Linked DNA regions of Daphnia pulex. Each later gene encodes a partner of the first gene's protein in a complex. Links are inferred from orthologs where the notes say so. Each region holds a gene or a part of one and is shown on either strand. Other genes may lie near its edges.

Region 1 (2,930 bases):
AATATCCGTAAACTAATTTTCAGGACGTTGGTCCAACTTCTTGAGAGGACTAAGAAAAAGTACCAATCTCGATTAAAAAGACTAGAGCAGCAAATGGTCAACATGTCGGAAAGACATGCAATGCAGGTATATAGAGAAAAATTACGAGTTATCAAGTGTGACCGACATAAAAATGTCATGTGATTATCAGGTTCGCGTCCTAAAGCAACGAGTTATGGTGCTGGAAGATGAGTCTTCCGTCCGCCCTTTACCTTTAAGTTCAGCCCCAAGTGAGACTTCCCTATGATCTTACCCTTTTTTTTACCCTTCTCTGAATTACGCTTTGCTGTACTCATACGCTTCTTCTCGTTTTCAATTGTGTGATATATAAAATCAGAACGTGCTACTTACCATTTATAAGACAAGCTAATCTGAAAGTGCATGACTTTATACTATTTTTTTGTTTTGTTCCCTTACAACCAAATCTTTTTGGTTGTCACTTACTGAAAATCTCGGATGAATCAATTTCCTGTTGCAGTGTATTATCCGAATTCGATAAAGTAGGTTTACATTGAATTTCATTCATTAAGTGAAGCTAACTGTCTCTCAATTTCAGCACACGCGAGTTCGATTTCGTAGTTTTTAGTGATCAAACCAAACCAAGTGGCTTCCAAATGTTTCATTTTGTCTCCAACCTCTGTCTGATCTTTTTTTCTAGCCCAATTGACATCTTGGATTTGTTTCCTGTAAAGAAAAATATAATAGTGTATTTTGCAATATGGTGTCTACTTTACTGAAATCATACTTAAATTCCTGAAGATGCTTCTGAGATTGTTGGATCATCTGGGACAATACAGTGTTATAAATTCTCCATGATTCACAACCATACTCTGACATTAATTCCAAGTTCAAAATCCTGTTTTTTAATTGAAATTTTTTTAAATTTATGGTTGCTGTAAAATTTTTTTTTAGAAAACAAACCTTGTTGTTTGATGTTCTAATTGAGCCATTGAATTATCAACACACTCTATCCATGCTTGAAGATCATTTAGACGACCAGCAGATGGGGGTGGGAGTTCATATCGTTTCATGCTCAAAACATCCATTGGTTTCTTTTGAGACAGTCGCTCAAATTCAGTCTTCATCAAAGGAGTCTATGAACATGATAATTTCCATAATTATTACACACTCCTATCATTACTTCCATGCAGACAGTTCTTACTTCAAATGCTGACAGCTCAAGTGGAGGAAGATGTTCTAGGTAGTTTTTGGTTGGTCTATATCTTCGTGTCTCTTCATCAACCAATGCAAGTGCCTGATAGAAAGAAATTACTCTCATTAAACAACTATTGGACAAGAGCGAGAGTTCTCAGCAACATACAGTACTATGGTCTAGTACAATAATGTATTGATGTTAGAGATGACTAGGCTAACACAAGAATCTCCAAGCCTCAATTCGAAGCGATTCAAATATTTCAAAGTTTGCAATGTATAAGTTTTGCTTACCGCTTCTCGTAGAGTTGGATCTCCATATTCTTGGTCAACGTATGGTAAATCGTCAACCAAAATCCTTTCGTTCGGCGTGGAAATGTTTGTTGACGGAATCGGCATTTTGTGATTTGTGTCAAACTGTCTGTTGTCAGCAAGATTGTCAGATTTTCTGCTGGATTAATAAATATGAGCCACAGTTTTAGTAATTGATTTTCATTATGTCTAATTATTCATAAACTTACTTTTTGATAATGAATAAAGATCATTAACTTCCTTTAAATGAATAAAATATGAAAATAAATTGGTATATTAAATTTTATTCAATAATATTTTGGACACCGTTGCATTGTGAAACAAATAAAACAATATTAAAAATTTTATAACTAATCACTCCATTAAAATGTTTGAAATCATCAATTGAAACTCCATAATTTTTGTTATTAAACAGTGGATCAGTTCAGTGAATAATCTGTAATTTTTCAAGTAAATAATCAAGTAAAAAACGGAACGTAGAGGGCGGCAATTCTCAAAGTATGCCGGCAACATTGTAGACTTCCTCTTTGTCGCCATTACTGTGGGTCTCTTTCATTCGCCTTTTTACCCGGTCAGGACTATCTACCAAGATGGTAAGCATGAGGTTCTCCAAACATTTTACTAGTTTTTACATACATTAATTTACGAATAGTAAGTAAAAAGGTTAACGGGAGAAACGTGTTTTAAGAAAATTCTTGCGTGCGTATATTTTTCTAAGCCATTTTCTTGTTAATCTATGGCGAAAGTTTGGGAGTAAAATGTTACCCACAGCGTGGTTTCGTCCTCGTGTCAAATGGGCTCTTGCTGTTTTTCTATGTTAATTCAACGTCGTTCTTGGTTTATTGTTATGTTTTGGTTAATTGGTACATCTAGTTCAAAGTTTGTGTAAATTCAAGTGTTGTCTCTTGAAAATCTTAAATCTAATTTGTTTATCCATTTTGTTTTACAGAGTAAGGTGGTCGCGAGGCCGTTGATTACCGTTTACAATGAGAAGGCTGAGGCCTCTGGAACCAGCATCCAGCTCCCTGCAATCTTCAGGGCTCCCATTAGGCCAGACATTGTCAGCTTTGTTCAACAACAAATGTCAATGAATCGTCGTCACCCTTATTGTGTCAGCGAGAAAGCAGGTAACTTGTATGCCAATTATATGGCACACAGCATTGAAATGTAGGAGTAATTGTACGTCAGACTCTTCTTGTGCAGTGTGCAACACTAAAGCGAGTCCCTGAGGCCTTTCTCGCTTTGTTTTCTTAAAGTGAGGGGTTGGGCAACCGGACAAACTTCATACACACATGTAATGGTGTGATTGTTAATCTTCTTCTTTCCTATTACAGGTCATCAGACAAGTGCTGAATCATGGGGTACTGGTCGTGCTGTGGCTCGTATTCCCCGTGTCCGAGGAGGTGGTACCCATCGCTCCGGTCAGG
Region 2 (3,984 bases), on another chromosome or scaffold:
TCGGCCCATGCACCTGGCCGAAGTTTTAGAGAACATTGTAAAACATAAAAAAATGTATGCTGGTTGCACAGTAATTGAGAAGCTCAGTTTTCGGAGGAATAACTGTCGAAAGTCATATTAACTGGAACGACCCCCATCAAGGAAAAAGGGCTATTAGTCTGCGTTTAGTCTCAGTCTCTTTATGGCAAATCCTGGAAAGTGCGTCTATAAAACGTACGTATAACCACGACCCCTCATTTCTCGAAATAGAAGATCAAACGGAGGTATGCGTGTCTGCTTCGAAAGAATGTTGCAACTTGCTCGATACAAAAAGTCTCGATTGGAAAATTTGTATTGTAGTTACGACTGCTGAGTGATCTTAAAACTTGTCCAAGAGCTGAAGGATGTGTTGTTTCTCTTCTTCTTTCGCTTCGCTTTCACTGCCATCGCCAAGATTTCCTGCGTACTCTGCGCGAAGGACCAAATAAATATTAGTTTAACTTGGACAAGGGCTTTACGATTGGACGAAAAGCGAAAATATTTACCTCTCATTATTTCACGAATTGTCTTGACTGTGCCTCCTCTCAAATTGAGCGTATGCAAAACGCGCTGCTTGATGGTTGCGGCTCCTGAGGCGCAAACTTCCATCATAATGTAGTCCACCAGCTGAAGCGTGAACAATCCACCTTCCAGACGTTTAAGGTACATTTCGTCCTCGTCCTCTTCGTCGTCGTTCCGCTGGAGTTGAGCGTCAATCACGCGTAATTTGTCGAAGTATTTGAAGTGCAACTCCATCAGTCGATCGGTTTTTTCGTGGTCGTTTTCTGTAAACTTCGTCAGAAGTCTGGTGCGCTGTGATCCTCGGCACGACTTTAGCATACTTGCAATCACCGAGACTATATGTTCTAAAAAAACGATTTACACGGGTCACGTTTTATAAATTTGTGATGCACATCAGTATTTGCACTATATTTTATATTTACCTTCATACTCTTCTGCTGACATCCCCTTTCTCTTCAGTTTATGCGGCGTTTTCATGAATAGCGGAAAAATAGTCCTTAAGCCGAGGATGTCCACAAATTTGGTGCAATTATCTTTACCGGCCTCACCACTAAGTGCGTGATTCAAAACCTTTAACGCGCCATTTCTGGACATTTTTTTCTCTCTGTAAAGAAAGTGGGGAAAAAAACGGGTCAGGCTTCAAGATCAACAATATGAATGGTAGCAAGCCGGATCGTGGGAATTTCAACAATACCGCAACATGAGGTTCATAAGTTGCAAGCCCTCTCCCTTCAGAAATCTGTCGCGGTTGGGAACGTGAATCAGACTGGAACAAACACAATCGAACAAATTCTCCATCATTTCTTGTTCTTCTCCTGTTTTGGGATCTTGCCGCTTGAAAATCTGCGAGAAAATAATTAAAAAAATGACTTGCACTTTTACACAAATGAAAAATGAATGAAGAAAAACGTTTTCTTACGGCTAACTGTTGAAGCAAAATATCAATTCCGTCAATTTCACCCAGAAGTTGCCGATTTTCTGGTGTGCCTTGAAGCAAAATGGACAATATTTCACTGCAATATAGTTTGTTGGCGTCGAATGGTAATTTAGCTCTTAGCCGCTTCATTATCCAACTCAGCAACCCCTGTTGGGCTGCTTGTTGACACACTTCAGGCCTAATTTCCGTTAAGTTTTCCACAATGGCTGAAAGAACAAATTATTTTGTGAACAAAAACTGGGTACTTATGAATTATAGAAACATAAATGATCGTCTATACCTAGTGTATTGTGAACTCCGTCAGATTCTTCTGTTTGAGCTTCGTTTAGTCTTTCCAGGTTGTGGACTAGGAGGGCACAGATTTGCTGGTCCAGGAGTGCATCAATTAGAATTGCAGCTTCATCTTGACTTTCATTCAGAGTATCAATGTCAGTCAATTCTTGAAGCAAATTGACCACAGCGACAGAAATGTCTGCATTGTCATGTGACAATAGACCTAGCAATGTTGGTATAAGCTTTTGTTCAACACCTACTGTGTATAGTTCAGGAGCTGTTGCAAGTGCATGCATCAGTTGAATTGCTTCATGCAATTCCAATTCTGATTCCATAAACCTAAAAGATAAAATAAAAACTATTATGAAGAATGATGACAAAACAAGCAGAGGATAGGAATCATACTTCTCTGGCGCATCTGGAAATTTAACACGTAGTTCTTGATTTTTCAGAACCCGCTTTTCAAAATTTAGAATCATTCTCTTTAGGGAGGCTTCATCAAGGCTTTCAGAACCTTCATCTTGCTCTACCAATTTGAGCAATTCTTCTTTTTCTGGAGTTTCAACAACTGGGGGAGCAATATATGTGGCTGTTGATCTTGGGTTTGGCTTTACATTACTGGTTGGAAACTGTTTAAGTTTCTTTCCGGGACGTTCAAACTCTGGCTCTTTATCATCATCTGCAACATCTCGTTTGGGGTTTTGTTTTGGCTGTAACAAGAAAGTAGTGATTAATCATAATAAAACAAATGAAAGCTTTCAAAATAATCCAACAAATGCCATTGCAATATATGCTCCATGCAATCCCATAACATCCAATGCTTCTGTTTCCCCTTAATGGACTTATAGCTAAAGAAGTGTTAATACAAACTGATTTACACACCTTAAAAGATAAAAGTTCACCGACATCCATTGCAGATATTCGATTAAATTAAATAATGAACCAGCATAAACAAAATTTGAAGAGATCTTTTGGAACTTTCAACTTTTTAAAAAACACGATGTGTCAAACATGAAAATAGAGTCATCTACCGTTAGGAATATCAGAATAAAAACGCCATCTGGCCATAAGTAATGAAACTCGATGGGTCGATTTTATGATTAGTGTTGTCTGCTTTCGTTTTGTTTGAAAGTTTCGAAAAAGAAAAAGAGACAAAGATTTTTGGGGGGAAACGTTACGTTGCTGCACGAAAAATAGCACTAAAAATTAAAAACAAAAATGTGATTGCCGTGTCAACTCTGGTCGCCGGTCGCGTGTCTTTATAGAATCGCTTAATGCACATACACATGCTGCTTTAGCAGGTAAAAAAACCCCATAAATTCAAATAGAATGACTGACTAGCATGTATCATGTAATAAGGGGCTTACATGATAAGTGTTGCTATTGCATGTGTGTTTGTGAGCACTATGTAACATTCTCATCTTTGTGCAGATTTGAGGCCAGAGCCAACCATCAAACCACAACATATGCAAGTTTTGCTTGTGCCAGTATTCACAGTGTCATCAGCAACAATCTTAGTATCATCACTCAGGTAATGATTTTCGTTACTTTTATTAACCTGTTAGATGTTTTAAATAGCCATCACTTGCAGAGTGTTACAGGGAATTCTTACATTCTCTTGTCCATTAATAAATAGGATTCATCTGCTGTCTTGTTTTCTATTTATCACTAATTGTTTCTGTAAATATTTTTCGTAACTCATATTTCATATTTGATTTTTATTTAGATAGGATTTATAGCATCCCGTTTGATTGGAGAGACTATCACCGATGTCGACCGAATTTCTTCCCCTTTCTTGGAATGTCCTCTTTACACCCATGTGAACGTGGACTTAAAGGCTTTAAGGTAGAAAAACATTTATCTAAATTCTTCCTTTTTGACTGTTACTTGGCGTTGATTATAAATTTTTGAGTACGATTATTCCTGAGCTATGCGGTTGACCGGAACGGTTTTCTCTTGCCGTTTTTGTTTACTCGGTCAGGGTTTGAAAAAGTGGTTGCTCATTTGTAGAACGGCTGCAGTTCAGGCCCTGTTTTGTACCTCACAACTTTGTCTATAGGTAAAAAGTCCAATTCAAAAATATTTCAACTTCAAACACTTAAAGCAAAGTGCAACTAGAAAAATTTTATGACGAAAGAGGGTCCTTGGTCGCCACACTGGCACTCGTTCTTAAAATATTCCCTCGGTTAACCCTCGTTTTCAATTAGAGAAATTTTTAAGAAAGTTTTTATAAA

What was found.
Region 2: pre-mRNA-splicing factor SPF27-like (region 1) and beta-catenin-like protein 1 share a complex: the UniProt entries of both Homo sapiens proteins name them as parts of the PRP19-CDC5L splicing complex. The link is inferred for Daphnia pulex from reciprocal best matches to the Homo sapiens genes BCAS2 and CTNNBL1.

The regions. Positions count from the first base shown.
Region 1 is NC_060018.1:4,114,108-4,117,037, forward strand, and holds pre-mRNA-splicing factor SPF27-like, read right to left. Parts: upstream 1,774-2,930; 5' UTR 1,713-1,773; intron 1,643-1,712; 5' UTR 1,591-1,642; coding exon 1,486-1,590; intron 1,295-1,485; coding exon 1,202-1,294; intron 1,134-1,201; coding exon 961-1,133; intron 896-960; coding exon 785-895; intron 724-784; coding exon 558-723; 3' UTR 501-557; downstream 1-500. Other genes in the region: uncharacterized protein LOC124189006, read left to right, coding at 24-126, 191-269, 1,498-1,529, 2,453-2,630, 2,838-2,930. UniProt on the Homo sapiens protein: Required for pre-mRNA splicing as component of the activated spliceosome. Component of the PRP19-CDC5L complex that forms an integral part of the spliceosome and is required for activating pre-mRNA splicing.
Region 2 is NC_060022.1:2,351,930-2,355,913, forward strand, and holds beta-catenin-like protein 1, read right to left. Parts: upstream 2,801-3,984; 5' UTR 2,663-2,800; coding exon 2,633-2,662; intron 2,461-2,632; coding exon 2,156-2,460; intron 2,090-2,155; coding exon 1,758-2,089; intron 1,684-1,757; coding exon 1,460-1,683; intron 1,384-1,459; coding exon 1,235-1,383; intron 1,145-1,234; coding exon 963-1,144; intron 885-962; coding exon 525-884; intron 448-524; coding exon 359-447; 3' UTR 314-358; downstream 1-313. UniProt on the Homo sapiens protein: Component of the PRP19-CDC5L complex that forms an integral part of the spliceosome and is required for activating pre-mRNA splicing.